Linked DNA regions of Saccharomyces cerevisiae S288C. The protein of the gene in region 3 binds, or shares a complex with, the protein of the main gene of each other region. Each region holds a gene or a part of one and is shown on either strand. Other genes may lie near its edges. The genes, in order: GCD2, GCD1, GCD6 and GCN3. A codon is read from its position in the direction of its gene.

Evidence for each region.
Region 1: GCD6 (region 3) and GCD2 share a complex: the UniProt entries of both Saccharomyces cerevisiae proteins name them as parts of the translation initiation factor 2B (eIF2B) complex.
Region 2: the proteins of GCD6 (region 3) and GCD1 are in contact, whole or in part, in a cryo-EM structure (PDB 6I7T), measured with the Saccharomyces cerevisiae proteins. Residues at the interface, in NP_010497.3 of Saccharomyces cerevisiae: Pro175 (codon at 2,117), Lys176 (codon at 2,114), Lys189 (codon at 2,075), Leu200 (codon at 2,042), Pro201 (codon at 2,039), Leu202 (codon at 2,036), Pro203 (codon at 2,033), Ser205 (codon at 2,027), Arg206 (codon at 2,024), Lys208 (codon at 2,018), Thr209 (codon at 2,015), Ser210 (codon at 2,012), Ile211 (codon at 2,009), Gln212 (codon at 2,006), Ile213 (codon at 2,003), Asp214 (codon at 2,000), Pro215 (codon at 1,997), Glu216 (codon at 1,994), Asp222 (codon at 1,976), Glu223 (codon at 1,973), Phe224 (codon at 1,970), Val225 (codon at 1,967), Ile226 (codon at 1,964), Arg227 (codon at 1,961), Asn228 (codon at 1,958), Asp229 (codon at 1,955); in NP_014903.1 of Saccharomyces cerevisiae: Lys202 (codon at 1,634), Gln217 (codon at 1,589), Val225 (codon at 1,565), Thr248 (codon at 1,496), Tyr252 (codon at 1,484), Leu253 (codon at 1,481), Gln254 (codon at 1,478), Ile255 (codon at 1,475), Arg256 (codon at 1,472), Ser257 (codon at 1,469), His258 (codon at 1,466), Leu260 (codon at 1,460), Trp261 (codon at 1,457), Pro264 (codon at 1,448), Asn265 (codon at 1,445), Leu266 (codon at 1,442), Thr267 (codon at 1,439), Val268 (codon at 1,436), Ser269 (codon at 1,433), Thr270 (codon at 1,430), Lys271 (codon at 1,427), Asn308 (codon at 1,316), Gln309 (codon at 1,313).
Region 4: the proteins of GCD6 (region 3) and GCN3 are in contact, whole or in part, in a cryo-EM structure (PDB 6QG0), measured with the Saccharomyces cerevisiae proteins. Residues at the interface, in NP_010497.3 of Saccharomyces cerevisiae: Glu321 (codon at 1,679), Lys327 (codon at 1,661), Val331 (codon at 1,649), Val332 (codon at 1,646), Leu333 (codon at 1,643), Ala334 (codon at 1,640), Gln335 (codon at 1,637), Ser336 (codon at 1,634), Cys337 (codon at 1,631), Ile339 (codon at 1,625); in NP_012951.1 of Saccharomyces cerevisiae: Asp122 (codon at 1,950), Phe146 (codon at 2,022), Arg148 (codon at 2,028), Phe149 (codon at 2,031), Arg150 (codon at 2,034), Ile174 (codon at 2,106), Pro175 (codon at 2,109).

Annotation. Positions count from the first base shown.
Region 1 is NC_001139.9:644,360-648,764, forward strand, and holds GCD2 (translation initiation factor eIF2B subunit delta), read right to left. Parts: upstream 2,457-4,405; coding exon 501-2,456; downstream 1-500. Other genes in the region: TOM complex receptor protein TOM20, read left to right, coding at 1-236; mitochondrial 37S ribosomal protein mS44 MRP13, read right to left, coding at 2,764-3,783; 60S ribosomal protein uL5 RPL11B, read right to left, coding at 4,024-4,405. UniProt on the Saccharomyces cerevisiae protein: Acts as a component of the translation initiation factor 2B (eIF2B) complex, which catalyzes the exchange of GDP for GTP on the eukaryotic initiation factor 2 (eIF2) complex gamma subunit.
Region 2 is NC_001147.6:812,049-816,220, reverse strand, and holds GCD1 (translation initiation factor eIF2B subunit gamma), read right to left. Parts: upstream 2,238-4,172; coding exon 501-2,237; downstream 1-500. Other genes in the region: proteasome regulatory particle lid subunit RPN8, read left to right, coding at 1-306; proteasome regulatory particle base subunit RPT4, read left to right, coding at 2,513-3,826; HNT3 (DNA 5'-adenosine monophosphate hydrolase), read right to left, coding at 3,897-4,172. UniProt on the Saccharomyces cerevisiae protein: Acts as a component of the translation initiation factor 2B (eIF2B) complex, which catalyzes the exchange of GDP for GTP on the eukaryotic initiation factor 2 (eIF2) complex gamma subunit.
Region 3 is NC_001136.10:881,665-887,365, reverse strand, and holds GCD6 (translation initiation factor eIF2B catalytic subunit epsilon), read right to left. Parts: upstream 2,640-5,701; coding exon 501-2,639; downstream 1-500. Other genes in the region: chaperonin-containing T-complex alpha subunit TCP1, read right to left, coding at 1-134; YDR210C-C (gag protein), read left to right, coding at 3,439-4,761. UniProt on the Saccharomyces cerevisiae protein: Acts as a catalytic component of the translation initiation factor 2B (eIF2B) complex, which catalyzes the exchange of GDP for GTP on eukaryotic initiation factor 2 (eIF2) and is regulated by phosphorylated eIF2.
Region 4 is NC_001143.9:486,726-491,241, reverse strand, and holds GCN3 (translation initiation factor eIF2B subunit alpha), read left to right. Parts: upstream 1-1,586; coding exon 1,587-2,504; downstream 2,505-4,516. Other genes in the region: RPC37 (DNA-directed RNA polymerase III subunit C37), read right to left, coding at 2,624-3,472; DBP7 (putative ATP-dependent RNA helicase), read left to right, coding at 3,870-4,516. UniProt on the Saccharomyces cerevisiae protein: Acts as a component of the translation initiation factor 2B (eIF2B) complex, which catalyzes the exchange of GDP for GTP on the eukaryotic initiation factor 2 (eIF2) complex gamma subunit.

The DNA.
Region 1 (4,405 bases), on a different chromosome or scaffold from region 3:
AACAAGGTAAGGAACTGGAAGCAGCCTCTAAGTTTTATAAAGCATTGACTGTATACCCTCAGCCAGCCGATTTATTGGGAATTTACCAAAGATCCATTCCTGAAGCCATTTACGAATATATTATATTAATGATTGCCATCTTGCCTCCTGCTAATGTGGCTTCTTTCGTTAAAGGAGTTGTTGGAAGCAAGGCCGAATCTGATGCGGTTGCTGAAGCTAACGATATCGATGACTGAGAGTAACATTTTGCTTGCTTTTTTTCTCCGTTTTTGTTTCTTTTACTCTGTATATAGCCCTATATAATTACATCATTTCTCTAGCCTAAATCTTGTTATATATACCAAGCTTTTTGGAAAGCTAAGGATAAAAACAATTCTTTTCATTAGATGTATTTTTTCATCGTATTAGGTGTAATATATATATATATGTATATATATATATATATATAATATATATGTAGTATACACACGTGGACGACCATTAACGAATGTTGTATATGCTTATGCGGAACCTTTGTACTCTCTTAAAATAACAGGGACAGATGAAGGTGGCAAAGCGCCGAATTCAGTGATCACTTTTTTAATATATTCTGGTGGTGTTAAATCGTATAAGATGTTGACAATATTTAACGAAGGTAACTCTTGCCAACCATCCAAAATATTTTTGCTGTTGCTGTCTTCTTCATTACTGGCGTCCTTGCTTTCTCCTTCAGATCCTTTCTTACCGCCAATTTTATTACCCTTTGGCTTATTCTCCATTGCTAGCTTTTTCTTTTCAAATTTTCTTTCTTTGATAAATTGGTTTAATAACGCACCTTTATTACCGCGTCTCTCGACTGGATTTTCGTAATCTATATTAACCAGGTCATTTGGATCTGCCAGTTCATTAAATGTGACACTATCCAATTGTACTCTTTGTGAAAACTTCAAACTTTCGCAGCAGACTAATACAGGTATATTTCTTCTCTTAGCGCTCATAGCCAACATTGCTGTCCCAGCTCTTGAATATAGGAACCCATTAGATAGGATAGAATGGGCTCCTAAAAACACATAGTCCACATCCATATTGAATATCGTATCCAAACTTGTAATAAGTGCATACATAACATTGACACCAGCATTTCTTAAAGTTTCTGCCATTTTCCGCCCTTCAAATAGTGGTCTCGAATCGACGACAATCACTTTGATGTTTTTCTTTAAACTGATTGCATTATGCAGTAACAGTTCAGTTAGAACCTTTGATGAACCATATGTCACAATAGTAGTAGATTCTTCAATTTGTGTAGAGGCATTGTCTATAATTAGTTGATCAGCCAGTTCGATTTTTTCTTTAGCAAACTGCCCAATTTTCTCACAAAGGTCTTTTTTGGCGGCTTTGTCGGGGGTAGATGGGTCAATTAATGAAATTTCTTGCTTTAACCATCTGATAGCATTACCCATAGTAACACTTAAAGGTCTAGCTTTTTTCAAAAGATCAATCTGGTGTGACAAATAACTTGTTAAGTTACGTGACAAGGTAGTTCCCTTAGGTGTTTGATAGTCTTTGATAACAATTTGGAAAACCTCTAGCATGGCTATGCAACGTGGGATGGATCCCACGATTTTATAGTGTGCTAGATGAGAAGTTAATAATAATATCGACGGATGGATAAGGTCTTTATTCAATAAAAGTTCCTTAACAGACGATATCAAGCTGGAGTTGTCAAATGATTGTTCTAACACGGTAGGGATCACTGACGATATACCGGGAATGACATTAAACTCACCAGCCTCTAACGAGATAGATGCCAATGTCTTGGCAACATCAGAAGCGTTTGATGAAGCAATCTCTTGTTGTATAGCTGTTGGAGTATTTGTTGACGCAGAACTGGTACCGGCAGAGAGTGCTGCAGAAGAGGCAGGAAGAGTCGTTGTTGTTGAAGCTGGAGCTGATGCAGATACAGTAGACGACGCGTTTGGACCCACGGGCATCAAGGAAGAAGCCGTTAATACGTTAGATCCTGATAATGCACTAGCCACCACGGGGACCATCAACCCAGCAGCGGTGATTCGCGAAGTTTTTGGAGATGATACTGCACTGGTTAAAGCTAAAATTGTCGCTCTTCTTTCTTCAGTAGTTTCCAGATGACCAAAAAGTGTGCTCTTTTTCACGTTTCGTTCATTTTGTTTTTTTTTATTGGCATTTTTTTGCTTTTGCTCTCTTTTCTGTTGTTGCTCACGTTGTAGTTGTTTCTTCTCTTTTTTCATTTGTGCTTGTTGTTGCTGTTGTTCAATGGATATACCATTAGCCTGCTTCATTGCAGCTCTCTTTGCAGCTTTTTCTTGTTTCTTTAGTTCTTTTAGCTCCTTGTTTGTTAATTTCTTTTCTCCATTAGCTGCAGCTGTAGTTGTTGGAGTAGCTTGTTTAGCTTTACTTGGCGGTGTAGCCGACCTAGATTTGGCTTCCGATTCGCTCATAGCAATTTGATTATCGACGCTTCTTTGACAACGTATTTCTTACGTGGTGAAAATAAGATCTTATGCACTTACGCTGATTATCTATAGCTGGTGATGCCTTGTTGTAGAATACTCATTTTCACTAAACTCGAAAAAAAAAAATTGAAAAATTGGAAAAAAGCGAGAGGTACTGAAAATTGTGAAGAGATTCCCGGGTAAATATAAACATAATTAATACAATAATAGCAATATATGTGACGAACTGTGTTCTACTTTTTAGTATTTACAGGTATGTTTATTTATATATTTCCTATGGGGTGTTTTGGTACTATTTTTCCTCTTTTTCGGTGGATTCCTGAGGAGGTGGTGTTTCCAACAGTCCCAACGCTTTCAAATGCGTGTCGTATGGATCGCTGGATTCACTTAATGCATTTTGATATTGGCGTATAAATTCTTGCAATTCTAGATATTGAGCATTGTGTTGATCGATGTCCAATAATGTTCTTGCAATAAGGTATATCCCCTCGTATTTGCTTAGCAAGTCCTTTAGTTCCGCGCCACTTGATGAATTGGGGATATCTGGTAAACTAATATCTACAGGTTGCAAGCCCGTCAGCTCTGGGGTAAATCCAATCTGTCTACCTAATGTTGCAACAAGAATATTTGCTAGTCCAGTATTATTTTTTCTATTTAATACCTTTTTCCAAGCAACCTGCAGTTTCCTCTGAGCAATTTCTGCATCTTTATAGTCTTTCAACCTATTTCGATGCAAAGCACACATGATATTAGTATTAAAAAAATGCTCGATATCAAATACGGATGGATTTTGCGCTTTGAGAAACTTGTGCTCAATACCATATAAGAGTCCTACCATGTGCGCATATTTACCGATTTTGAAAAATGACGCAGTCAACATCTTTTGAACATGAATTGGTGAGATGTACGTCCAAATAGCGCGCTTTCTTATGGAGGTCCCTGTCCATTCTTTGAACCAATCTAGTAGTTCTGTCGAGTTGGGTTCAACCGAATAAATAAAATCATTTAACGTTTGCTTCGACAGTGGCTTTACGGGAGGTCTCGGTTGTAATGGTTCCCTTGTTTTTGGATCCCTAATATCTTTAGTTAACAATATCTGAGCATTCTTGGGACGGTAAATGAATGGTTTTAGTTTCGCATCTGTCTTGTGGTATATCAAGAATTCATCCAGCTTTGCTTTCGCAATTTCGCCGGTAGATGCAAAACGTCTCCAAACTGTACTTCTGAACATTTTCTTGTTGGTCGTTGCTCGGTGCAATGCCCTTATCAACAGTATTGGTCCCTCATTAATCACCACTGTTATGGTTCCCATTTTCTTAATAAGAAAGGTTTAGCTTTTTTTCAGCACATTTTCTATTACCCTGCATGGTGAGTATCAAATAAGTGCCAATAAATTGGGTATGAATACAACTAAATACATTGACAAAGTGTTCACAACGCATCGAAGCGCTAGACTTGCAAATGTGATGAGGATATATGATATTTTTGGGATATTTTATTTGTTCTTATATATTAAGTAGTTGATGTTGTCACTGACTATACCGAGACCAAATTATTTATCGAGCACATCAGCGTCGTACTTTTGCTTGAACCAAGAGACGGTGTCTTCCTTAGTTGTCTTGTGGGAGTTACCAACAGTACCCTTACATCTCTTTCTTCTAGTGACTCTAGCACCTGGTCTGTTCATGACGACATAGAAATCCATACCGAAAATACCGATGGATGGGTCATACTTGATACCCAAGTCAATGTGTTCGTCAATACCGAAACCGAAGTTACCGGTAGCAGAGAAGTTTCTGTCTCTCAATTGGTATTCCTTGACCTTCAAACCTCTTTCCAAAATTTCTTCAGCCTTTGGACCTCTGACGGTAACGTGAACAGCAATTTTTTCGTTTCTTCTGATACCGAAAGTTCTGACAGTGTATCTGGCCTTG
Region 2 (4,172 bases), on a different chromosome or scaffold from region 3:
AATCTGGGAACACCTGATGATGACGAAATAGATGTGGAGAATCATGACAGAATTAATATTTCAAATAACTTACAAAAGGCTTTAACTGTGAAAACTAATGATGAATTAATGGTTATATATATAAGCAATTTGGTTAGGTCAATTATCGCGTTTGATGATTTGATTGAAAACAAAATTCAAAATAAAAAAATTCAAGAACAAAGAGTAAAGGACAAACAATCAAAAGTCTCTGATGACAGTGAGAGTGAGAGTGGTGACAAAGAAGCAACTGCGCCATTGATCCAACGAAAGAACAAGAAAAATTAATTCAAAAATTAACATAACATAATATATGAAATAGATGTGTAAAACGCTATGTATTAATACAACATGTTAATTTGCTTAAGCATAATTATGTTCTGTTGAATTTCAAATATAAATGCATAATATCGCCTCTATTCTCGTCCACTTACTTACTTGGTCTCTATTAAAGAGACTGAAGGAATATACATAAGTTTATATTAACGCTCAAATAATCCGTCATCTTCGTACTCGTACTCGTCGGTATATTCACTATCATCAGAATCTTCATCGCTTCTATCATCACTGTCAGTTTCTTCGGCGATTTCACTTTCTCCAGCAATAACACTATCATCATATATTAACTCGTCCTCCTCATCTTCATCCAAATAAACGTTGGCCAGTGTTTCACCTTTAAAGTTATTTTTAGGCTCCACAACATAATGGCCTTCGATATAACAATTGCTGAGTTTACACTTTGAACCGATTTTTGCCATAGGTCCAATAATACAATTTTCCAGGATTACTTCGTCACCAAGATGGACTCCAGGAAATAAGAGAGACCCTGCAACACGACATCTGGAACCAATATTGGCCTGAGTACCGAGAACAGACATCTTGACATTACTATGAGCAGAGATTTGGCATTTGGGATCTACTATGGCATCAGCACCGATAGCGGCAGATTGAATCTGTATATTTTTCGTGAACATCGTTTGTGATTTTATCTTTAGTACAAATCTATTAGCGTCCATGTAAGCATTCAAGTTATTGGCTCTGATGAACAAGGTTTCGTTTGGTAAAATAAAAATACCTATTGGTTCCCTCGGTTTCGAATGTTGCCACGAACGACGAGATAAATCTCTAAAAACCTTACTCAATGATTTATTACAGTTTATTGGGTCCAAGATGAGATCATTCTTTTTTTTGAAGTAGGTAGGCTGGATAGATGTAGCCGAAGGTTTGTAATCATCGTCATCATCATGATTGCGATCTTCATCATCATCAGTAGTAGGAGGGTTTTGCTGTTGTTGGTTTCCAGTAAATGGATCTTTGAATGAAGCTTGTCTTGACATTGATTGAGGTCCTAATTTTAACAACTGGCAAAGTTCAAAGGAACAAAAGTAGATGAATGAGTTCAGTAACTTAGTGGATACTGTTAAATTTGGATAGTTCCATAATAAATGAGATCTGATCTGTAGATATTTTGTCTTTGTGACGTCCCTTTGAGAATAAACGTCCAAAAGTATTGGCTGCCTCTCTGAGTCTTCGTTTTCTGAATAAACAGTGAAAAATTGCTGTTGTTTTTGCTTTTGCTGTTGCTTTTTATCGATACTACTATCTAAAGAGTTCTTATAGTAGATAGTCATTGCTAGGTTATTATCATCCCTATTCCTAAATTGATCGACCAAGACTTGTGGAGGTATATCTGTGACAAAATCACAGGGCAAGATTACAAAATCGCCATTGATTCTAGGCAAAAGCTCTTTTTGCAAGGACTCACCTGTAGAATTTGCCTTCGAAGGGATGAAATTAATTTTCTTAGGATCTTGCAAGTGATGACTGTGGTTGGAATTTGACAAAGCCTTGTATATTAGTTCAAATTGTTGCTTTCTTAGGGACAAAAACGAAGTCAGTCCACTTTCAATTAATTCGATTTCGTCAACGGGTGCGACCACACTGATTTCTTTGAAATCTGCCTGATCACACCAATCCAAGACGTATTCAATCATAGGTCTATTACCGATGGGCAAAAGAGCCTTGGGCAAGCGCGTTGAATGTTGCATGAACTCATTTATGACAGTTGAATCGAGGGCGCTATTGACCAACTCATTAAGTTTGTCACCGCTCGTGGCAGCTGTACTGTCTTTGTTCTGCGTTTGGAATGGAAAATCTGGCTGGGTGAAGGGAGCCAAATTGGAACCTTTACCGCAAAAGACAAAAGCCTGAATTGACATGACTACGACAATAGGGGGGGGAGCTATCAACGGTGGGAACTTTTGGTCAGCACAGCGTTCAGCATTTTCTGTTGCATCGTAAAGTGCTTGATTGTTATATTTCAATATAGTGATGAGAAGTGAAAAATTTTGCGATAGGCGGGTGACCTTTCAAATAGTGGAATTTGCCACCGAAGGGAAAGGAAGCTTGAAATACCATAGTGAAGTAAATTAAATCTAGTACCTCGCACCGGTTCCAAAGATAACAGACGAAGCAAAGATATTAATAACTAAGAATGAGTGAAGAACAGGACCCTTTATTAGCAGGATTGGGGGAAACGTCCGGCGACAATCACACCCAACAGTCACACGAACAACAACCAGAACAACCACAGGAAACGGAAGAACATCATGAAGAGGAGCCTTCTAGAGTGGATCCTGAACAGGAGGCCCATAACAAGGCCTTGAATCAATTCAAGAGAAAGCTGCTAGAACACAGAAGGTATGATGATCAATTGAAGCAGCGCCGTCAAAATATACGAGATCTAGAGAAGTTATATGACAAGACTGAAAACGACATAAAAGCTTTGCAAAGTATTGGACAATTGATTGGCGAAGTCATGAAGGAATTATCTGAAGAGAAATATATAGTGAAGGCCTCTTCGGGCCCACGTTATATTGTCGGAGTTAGGAATTCGGTAGATCGCTCTAAATTAAAGAAAGGGGTGAGAGTCACCTTAGATATCACCACTTTGACTATAATGAGAATTTTGCCCAGAGAGACAGATCCACTGGTGTATAATATGACCAGTTTTGAACAAGGTGAAATCACTTTTGATGGTATTGGTGGTTTGACTGAGCAAATCAGAGAATTAAGGGAGGTTATAGAATTACCATTGAAGAACCCAGAAATTTTCCAGAGGGTCGGTATCAAACCTCCAAAGGGTGTGCTACTATATGGTCCCCCTGGTACTGGTAAAACTTTACTAGCGAAGGCAGTTGCTGCTACGATTGGAGCCAACTTCATTTTCTCTCCAGCGTCTGGTATTGTGGATAAATACATTGGTGAGTCTGCTCGTATTATTAGAGAAATGTTTGCATATGCAAAGGAACACGAACCTTGCATCATTTTTATGGATGAAGTGGATGCTATTGGTGGTAGAAGATTCAGTGAAGGTACTTCAGCAGACCGTGAAATTCAACGTACGTTGATGGAGTTGTTGACCCAGATGGATGGTTTTGATAATCTTGGACAGACTAAAATCATCATGGCTACGAATAGACCAGATACTTTAGATCCTGCTTTGTTGAGGCCCGGTAGACTAGACAGGAAAGTTGAAATCCCATTGCCAAATGAGGCCGGCAGATTAGAAATTTTCAAAATTCATACTGCAAAAGTCAAAAAAACAGGGGAATTTGACTTCGAGGCTGCTGTAAAAATGAGTGATGGTTTCAATGGTGCTGATATTCGTAACTGTGCAACTGAAGCAGGTTTTTTCGCCATAAGAGATGACCGTGATCACATCAACCCTGATGATTTAATGAAAGCCGTAAGAAAAGTAGCTGAAGTTAAGAAATTGGAAGGCACTATAGAATACCAAAAATTATGATGTTAAAAAGACATGTGTATGTATAGGTATGTGTATATCAGTAACAAAAAGAAATGCGAGAAAGCTTGCCTTATTTAAGCTCGAAATGGCTATTGAACTCTAGTTCTAAATGCTTTTTCAATAAGCTAAATTTATTACTAAAATTTCGCTGACAATAGCAGCAAAGTAAATCGTGTTCTTTCAGGTACGTAGTTTCAATTTCCTTGTCAGTGCCCAAATTTTTTCCGTTCAATGGTAAATCGTCCCAACTAATGAAGAATCCAGTATTAAATGAATTATAATGTTTTTTGTTCTTCAATCTTACCGAATGGAAATCTTTGGATATGACGTGTATATGTAAGTTGGC
Region 3 (5,701 bases):
CCTAAAGATGACTTGACGACGTTAGCCACAGCCATAGTAGCCAAAACATTCTGATTACGAATATCATCACCACTTATTTTTTCACCTCCTAGGAAAAGGGTATCTGAGCGCGAGTTATTGAATAATTGGGACATCGCTAAGTTATTACAAATATAAAAGTCTTCTGTCTATTGTTATTGTCCCTTTCTTGTACTCTCTCAGTGGCCTCTCTTTTGCTTAAGTTATTTACTCTTCATGTGATACCACCGCATTTCAATTTTTTTTTTTTTCAGTTCTTTGCCACTTAGGACAAGGTCCCTCGGCAAGTGAAAAAAAAAAATCTGAGATTATTATTTCAGTAGTACTACTGAGGATAAAAACTAATATGATAAAAAATATATATATATTTGCTTTTTGCTTCTGTAACATGTAAATTACTAAATCTATATAGCGCTCACCTTTTTCTCATATTAAAGCCTTTTTATGGTAATACATGATTATGCAGGGTACTGCGTGGACTTTTATTCCTCTTCTGAGGAAGATTCTTCGTCAGCATTCTGTAACCACTCAACCCACTTTACAGTTAATTTCTTGACTTCATCATAGCGAGGGTCAGTAGAAACATTATCCCACCATTTATAAATGACATCCTCCTCAATTATGTCATTATCGTATAGAGAAACCAATGCACTAAATAGAATCAAATCCGGTTTGTCAAAACTCTGTTCTACAATTTTTTCCATTATGATGTTCATCAAATCAATATACTCTTCTTCATCAAAGGCTTGTCTCTTGAACAACAGTCCCCACTGATTAAAAACCTTCACCACAGCGTCCTTGGGACCTAATGTTTGAGTTGCAATAAAGTGGTAAACTCTTCTCAATAATGCAGTTATTGTTGCTATTCTCACCTCATGATATGTCACGTTCATACTCATTCTCAAGGTGTTCAATTCTAATAATGCTGTGTCAAGATCATGATTGTTTTCCATAGCACGCTCCACGGTGGCAATACCTTCTTTCTCAAAATCTTCGTCCTCAAATTCAGAATCAATTTCTTCTCTATCCGTGTATATACTATTGACAGACATCGTTCTTCTTTTCTTTGTCTTTTTAGTGGCGGAAGAAATTGAATCGTCACTTAAGTATAACTCATCTAATTGGTTACTCAAAGTGTTTATTTCTTTGCAGGCTTCTGTAGAACTATCTTCATCGTCAGACACCTCGCTTTCGTAAATATAACCAACACCCTTATCTCCAACAATAGAAACGGCTAGTGTCTGATCATCAAGGTCTTGGTCAAACTGCTCATTGCTTTCATTATCATACATTCTTGAGCCGGCATTTTTTAATGGACTGGCAGATATTTTTGTGTTTCTATCTAAATCCATATTATCATCAATTTTAACGTTGAAACCAATTATACAGCCATCATTTAGGCGTACATTACTCCCTAACGTGGCATTAGAGGCAATTAATGAATGGTCAATTATACTGTTATTTCCGATGATACAGTCATCCCAAATGAAACTGTTCTTGATTCTAATATTTTCACCGATTTGGCAGTTCCTTCCAATCACGGAATTCTCAATTTTCGTACCCTCTCCGATTTTTGTTCCTGATCCAATTGCAGTGCACTTACCAATTTTACAGGATTGGGCCAAAACAACGTCTTTTTCCTTGTATATATGTCTTGATTCATAAGAATACGTTTGATCGTCCTGTATGTTAGAGTCTAAGACCAAGGGATAACACCATCTACCTAAAAAGTCTTGAGAAATGGTGTCGTAAGTTTGCCAACTTTCAACTCTTACAGCATATTCGTCCGTCAAATAGGCATATATATGCTTTCCCAATATATCGCTTGAAATGACACCTTTAACAAAGTCTGTCCTTAATGATTGGTAGTCAAAATTTTCTTGAAATATCAAAGGTACATGAGATGTACAAATGTCAATTCTACAATCGATGAGGTCATTCCTTATGACAAATTCATCGACATTATCCAACAATTCTGGGTCAATCTGAATGGAAGTCTTCTCTCTAGAGCTTGGTAATGGTAAATCTTGGTAATAAATACACCTACTGGTGGATTTGTCTAAGACAAATGCGGCAGGCTCAATAGTTCTTGTTTTTGGATAGGTACTCGCTTTGCTCAAACACATTGTCGAGATGTGATCTTTATCTTGCAAATGCATTTTTTTGTGAAATTCTAGCATTTTGCTGAAATCGATGTTAGTCAATACATCACCACTGACTAAAATAAAATCTCCAGTAATGATACCTCTATTATCTAGATCTCTCATAACATCACCCGTACATCTAGCTTCTGGAGACATAATGGTGGTAATTTTAAATGGAGACCAAGGCAAGTTCCACTTAGAATTCTCAATATAGTCATTAATTTGGTTGGCATGAGAAGAGCAAATTAAGAAAACTTCATGTACGCCAGCCTTAGCCAAAAATTCTAAGGTGTATTCAATGAGAGGTACGTTAGCCAGTGGCAGCAAACACCTTGGCTTGACAGCTGTCAGTGGCATAAACCTAGTTTCATAAGAGTCTGTCAAGACAACGGCCTGGAGACGATCTTCAACATCCATATCAGAGTTCTTTCCATGGTTGCCTAGTCCACTTTTCTTTTGTCCCTTTTTTCCAGCCATCTTTTGCCTTATGAGTGGTTTCTATTCTATTTTTAACACAAGACCACTTTTAGTTATTTTTATACTTATCCCACAAGGTGGTCCATCTGCCATCTTTGAATTGGTGATTTAACTCTTCGCATTAATCTACTGAAAAAAAAAAAAAAAAAAAAAAGAACTGAAAACCATCTAAAGTCAAATAAGCTCATGTAATACGGGCATGTTGCAAACGCGTGTGAAAAAAAAAGAGAAAGTGCTCGAGGTGGGGTTTGAACCCACGACGGTCGCGTTGCTTTTAAAGGCCTGTTTGAAAGGTCTTTGGCACAGAAACTTCGGAAACCGAATGTTGCTATAAGCACGAAGCTCTAACCACTGAGCTACACGAGCATTTTCGAAAGAGACGTAAATAACATTGTTATTTATACTGGAATTAGTACTAATAATTTTATTAAAAAAAAAAATAGCTCTTTCTGAGAATTCTTTGAATTTTGGGAAAATTGTCGGGATATTAGTGTTAAAGAGGCCATTGTTGGAATAAAAATCAACTATCATCTACTAACTAGTATTTACGTTACTAGTATATTATCATATACGGTGTTAGAAGATGACGCAAATGATGAGAAATAGTCATCTAAATTAGTGGAAGCTGAAACGCAAGGATTGATAATGTAATAGGATCAATGAATATTAACATATAAAACGATGATAATAATATTTATAGAATTGTGTAGAATTGCAGATTCCCTTTTATGGATTCCTAAATCCTCGAGGAGAACTTCTAGTATATTCTGTATACCTAATATTATAGCCTTTATCAACAATGGAATCCCAACAATTATCTAATTACCCACATATATCTCATGGTAGCGCCTGTGCTTCGGTTACTTCTAAGGAAGTCCACACAAATCAAGATCCGTTAGACGTTTCAGCTTCCAAAATTCAAGAATATGATAAGGCTTCCACTAAGGCTAACTCTCAACAGACAACAACACCTGCTTCATCAGCTGTTCCAGAGAACCCCCATCATGCCTCTCCTCAACCTGCTTCAGTACCACCTCCACAGAATGGGCCGTACCCACAGCAGTGCATGATGACCCAAAACCAAGCCAATCCATCTGGTTGGTCATTTTACGGACACCCATCTATGATTCCGTATACACCTTATCAAATGTCGCCTATGTACTTTCCACCTGGGCCACAATCACAGTTTCCGCAGTATCCATCATCAGTTGGAACGCCTCTGAGCACTCCATCACCTGAGTCAGGTAATACATTTACTGATTCATCCTCAGCGGACTCTGATATGACATCCACTAAAAAATATGTCAGACCACCACCAATGTTAACCTCACCTAATGACTTTCCAAATTGGGTTAAAACATACATCAAATTTTTACAAAACTCGAATCTCGGTGGTATTATTCCGACAGTAAACGGAAAACCCGTACGTCAGATCACTGATGATGAACTCACCTTCTTGTATAACACTTTTCAAATATTTGCTCCCTCTCAATTCCTACCTACCTGGGTCAAAGACATCCTATCCGTTGATTATACGGATATCATGAAAATTCTTTCCAAAAGTATTGAAAAAATGCAATCTGATACCCAAGAGGCAAACGACATTGTGACCCTGGCAAATTTGCAATATAATGGCAGTACACCTGCAGATGCATTTGAAACAAAAGTCACAAACATTATCGACAGACTGAACAATAATGGCATTCATATCAATAACAAGGTCGCATGCCAATTAATTATGAGAGGTCTATCTGGCGAATATAAATTTTTACGCTACACACGTCATCGACATCTAAATATGACAGTCGCTGAACTGTTCTTAGATATCCATGCTATTTATGAAGAACAACAGGGATCGAGAAACAGCAAACCTAATTACAGGAGAAATCGGAGTGATGAGAAGAATGATTCTCGCAGCTATACGAATACAACCAAACCCAAAGTTATAGCTCGGAATCCTCAAAAAACAAATAATTCGAAATCGAAAACAGCCAGGGCTCACAATGTATCCACATCTATTAACTCTCCCAGCACGGACAACGATTCCATCAGTAAATCAACTACTGAACCGATTCAATTGAACAATAAGCACGACCTTCATCTTAGGCCAGAAACTTACTGAATCTACAGTAAATCATACTAATCATTCTGATGATGAACTCCCTGGACACCTCCTTCTCGATTCAGGAGCATCACGAACCCTTATAAGATCTGCTCATCACATACACTCAGCATCATCTAATCCTGACATAAACGTAGTTGATGCTCAAAAAAGAAATATACCAATTAACGCTATTGGTGACCTACAATTTCACTTCCAGGACAACACCAAAACATCAATAAAGGTATTGCACACTCCTAACATAGCCTATGACTTACTCAGTTTGAATGAATTGGCTGCAGTAGATATCACAGCATGCTTTACCAAAAACGTCTTAGAACGATCTGACGGCACTGTACTTGCACCTATCGTAAAATATGGAGACTTTTACTGGGTATCTAAAAAGTACTTGCTTCCATCAAATATCTCCGTACCCACCATCAATAATGTCCATACAAGTGAAAGTACACGCAAATATCCTTATCCTTTCATTCATCGAATGCTTGCGCATGCCAATGCACAGACAATTCGATACTCACTTAAAAATAACACCATCACGTATTTTAACGAATCAGATGTCGACTGGTCTAGTGCTATTGACTATCAATGTCCTGATTGTTTAATCGGCAAAAGCACCAAACACAGACATATCAAAGGTTCACGACTAAAATACCAAAATTCATACGAACCCTTTCAATACCTACATACTGACATATTTGGTCCAGTTCACAACCTACCAAATAGTGCACCATCCTATTTCATCTCATTTACTGATGAGACAACAAAATTCCGTTGGGTTTATCCATTACACGACCGTCGCGAGGACTCTATCCTCGATGTTTTTACTACGATACTAGCTTTTATTAAAAACCAGTTTCAGGCCAGTGTCTTGGTTATACAAATGGACCGTGGTTCTGAGTATACTAACAGAACTCTCCATAAATTCCTTGAAAAAAATGGT
Region 4 (4,516 bases), on a different chromosome or scaffold from region 3:
ATGTTGAATTTAGATACACCATTGTGCATACATCTTATTTTTCCCAAACGGTGTAACAATGCCTCGGAAACCTGATGACGAATTGCTAAAATAATACGGCATTGTACGGCACCAGGACTGGCAACGTAGCATTTCCAATATTATAATATTTTTACTCAATAACTGAAAAGATAATAAGAAAATTATAAAAGTAAAAAAATTCTTCCCCGCCAGGACTTGAACCTGGAATCTTCTGGTTCGTAGCCAGACGCCGTGACCATTGGGCCACGAGGAACAAGAATTATTAAGAGACATTAAAAATTGAGAACCCTAAGTATCAGCACTATTTATTGCATGATTTTTTACCTAATATAGTAGTTCAAATTACCAGACCCAACTAATCCTGCTCTAAGAAGTAAGAAATGTGTGAATTTTGAAATAATTGTTGGGTTCCATTGTGAATAAAAGCTATCATTGAGAAATGTTTGAATAATATGATAATTACTGGTGTTCCATTATTGTTGAAGGCTATGATACACAATATACTAAAAGTTCTCTTCGAGGATATTAGAAATGCGGAAGAAGGAATCGGTATTCATGAATAGTAATGTTATTGTCTCGTTTTTTTACTTTATATGCTTATTCTTTATCTTGTTACGTTATCAATGCTTGCATTTCAGCTTCTATTATATTTAATAACCGTTTCTCATTCTTAATGTCATCTTCTTACACTGTGTATGAGAACATACTGCTAATTTGTGTGCTAGTGCATAGATGGTAGTTAATTCTTATTCAGACAAAAAGTTTTAGTATCTGATCTGTTGTTAAACATGTTAGATAAGTATTTTTTGGAATAAAGATCCACTATCGTATATTGGCTAGCGGTCGTGACACTAATATGTTATTACATACTGCATAAATAGAATACACAAATCGTGAGGTACAGTCATCCAATGTTGTGGAAGTCGATACTCAAGACCTAAAGAAAAATAAAATTTCTGAATGAAAAACATAACGATAGTAAAAATGAGCGGTATGTTATGACATAGGAGATAGAAGAACAAAACTGATCTGATCAAATTATTTTAAGAATATTTTACTAGTATGTTTACTACATGACAATCTGCAGCAGTGCCAGCTACATGGTGATCTCTCCAAAACAGACCAAACAATTTGCGCTTGTATTGCTTTTCAAAATAAAACTAAACATATGTAATTGTGCTTACAAGAATTGCTAGCTATATCTTATGTTGGTAATAGATAACGATTAGTAATACCTTTTATGAGAAAGAATAAGGAGGCAATGCCATCATTTTCGCCACATTAAGAGTGCACGACTCTATCCAGGGAATTTGATACAACACAGCAACATTGTCGCCATATTTAAAGCTTTCTACATAGCATAATGTTTTTTTTTTTTTACAATAGATAAATTTCATCCGGAAGAAAAATGAAAAAAAAATGAAAAAATTGGTGAAGTTTATGGTGTAAAATGAGAATCATACTGCTCAAATAGTGACAAAGCCATCATTAATCATAGATTTCTTCATAGTAATTGATAGAAAGAATTTTAAAAGTCCTACGTATACCAGAAATCGAGAGGAAGGATGTCGGAGTTTAATATTACAGAAACTTATCTAAGGTTTTTAGAAGAAGATACTGAGATGACAATGCCGATTGCTGCCATTGAAGCATTGGTCACGCTATTAAGAATAAAAACACCAGAAACAGCGGCAGAAATGATTAATACAATAAAAAGCTCCACGGAAGAACTTATTAAATCCATTCCGAACTCAGTTTCCCTGAGAGCCGGTTGTGATATTTTCATGAGATTTGTCTTAAGAAATCTTCATTTATACGGTGATTGGGAAAACTGTAAACAACATTTGATTGAAAATGGCCAGCTTTTTGTATCGAGAGCCAAAAAATCGCGTAACAAGATTGCAGAAATAGGGGTGGATTTCATAGCTGATGATGATATCATCTTGGTACATGGTTATTCGAGAGCAGTATTTTCTTTATTAAATCATGCAGCAAATAAGTTTATTAGGTTCAGATGTGTGGTGACAGAATCAAGACCTAGCAAACAAGGGAACCAGCTATATACTTTACTTGAACAAAAGGGCATACCCGTGACTCTTATTGTCGATAGCGCGGTTGGAGCGGTAATCGATAAGGTTGACAAAGTGTTCGTTGGTGCTGAGGGTGTTGCTGAATCAGGTGGTATTATAAATCTCGTGGGTACCTATTCAGTGGGTGTTTTAGCACATAATGCAAGAAAACCATTCTATGTGGTCACTGAAAGTCACAAATTTGTTCGTATGTTTCCATTGTCTTCAGATGATCTACCTATGGCCGGCCCTCCTTTGGATTTCACACGTCGTACGGACGATCTAGAAGATGCATTGCGTGGGCCCACGATCGACTATACCGCCCAAGAATACATTACTGCATTGATTACAGATTTAGGGGTCCTCACTCCAAGTGCCGTTTCAGAAGAGTTAATCAAGATGTGGTATGATTAAAAAAAATCACATAATATATGCACGCAATGACTTAATAGAAAAGGAGAAAAAGCGCAAGAGCATCCTTTATGTGAAACTGATGTCTGATGCTGTTCTTTCTTCATGATGCATTATGTACTTCAAACTAGATTATCTATATAGTCTTCTTGTTTCTCTAAGGCTACTAAAGTTTTATCTTCAGCTTCTTTCACGATAGTATCTTTGAACTGTTCAAACGTGCCTTCTGCCCAGGTCAATTCAATATTAGCCTCTTCATCGGCGACTTTATGTGCCAGCAGGGAGCCAGTGAGTCTGTTTTGCGAAGGGTCGTTGACGCTCTTTACAGACATGGTAACCACTTGAGCGCGTTGTGATGAAGGATTAGGGTTCCTTCTGGCGTCCTCTTGCTTTCTTGTTACATTTGCGTCGTCGATATATTTGAAAAATGGCTTCAATTGTGCTACCCTCTCAATAGGTACCAAATAAACCTGCATATCTTTGACAAATGCTGCATATTGGCCATTGTTTTCCACACCCACGCCTTTTAATGTTTGGACATTAACCCCATTCCATTCGCTCTCAGCCTTATCCTTGTTATAGAAGGCCTGCTCATCCAAAGGAATATCTATTTCCCATAGGTGCGACTTGGGTTTATATCTTGCTGCAGAGATAAACGGATGCTCAGCAGGTTTGCGTCCTACTAGCCTTGGTCTATTAGCATACTGAAACACGTGCAGTGACTCCTCTTCTCCGGAGATCTTCAATGGAAACTCTTCGATCACTGGGTCATCCTCTTCTTCTTCACCAGTATCATCTTCAGCTTTTACTTCTTCGGATTTTTCCTCTTGCTCATTAGCTATAGCGCTGTTTGTTCCGTTCTCATCCGCTATCATATCAATGTCGTTAGATTCATCCTCAACATCAGCACGGTCCTGCGTCCTGTCTTCCTCATCCTCTTCAGTAACAAACAACTTGTTGTCAATACTCATCTATAACACTAGCCTATTCCACTTTCACCTTGCACTGCTTGAGCCAGATCATTTAAGCTCATCTCTCGCTTTTATCCATCTTTTGCATTCATTGTAACATTTCTTTTTTTCTTGAATAATTTTGTCAGAATACTAACCCTAAGGCCTGAAAAATGAACAGAGTTTTTATAAAATTTCAGTTTAAAATTGAATGTTGCCCTAACAATATGGATTAAAAACCCTGACATATTAGGTTTCCATTTTACTTGAAAAATTTGCGATGAGCTTAGGAAAATAAAAGATTGAGTACTTGTATGTGATATTTCTAATTTAAGAAAGTACGATTGTTTATATTCTTTTTCCTTTGGGATTATTCATATTCCAAATAAGCATACTTATTCAGCAATTTAACACCAAGATGAGCGATGAAGATTCTATGCTGTTAAACTTCACTACCAATGAGGACACTGCAGGAAGTTCCTATAAGCAAGCTGCCAAGGTGACAGGCGGTAGATGGAAGGATAGAAGAAGAATGAAAATGAAGCTTGAGGGCAAGACAGTCTCGAGGAAAAGAAAGGCGAACACTACAGGGGACGAAGGGATAATTCCGGGTAGAGGCGAGAATTCTATTAAAAAATTGCATAAGGAGAGTTCCTATAGTTCTGAAGAGCAGGAAAAATATAAGGGTAGAAATGCTCATAACACTCAAGGGAGAACTCTACCAGCCGATTCTCAGTTTGTTTCATCCCTGTTTACATCTAACAGAGAGATTACAACTGCGGTAAACACTAATATTCATGATGAAAACGTTGCCATCAATCCGTCTAACGCGCCCTTGAAAGGTGATCAGTTTGCGTCTTTAGGTGTCTCTAGTCTTCTTGTTTCTCATCTGGAGCAAAAAATGCGTATTAAAAAGCCTACGAGCATCCAGAAGCAGGCCATACCTCAAATAATAGGTAACGCGGGGAAGAACGATTTTTTCATTCACGCCCAAACAGGCTCAGGTAAGACTTTATCGTATCTTTTACCTATAATATCTACTATTTTGAACATGGATACTCATGT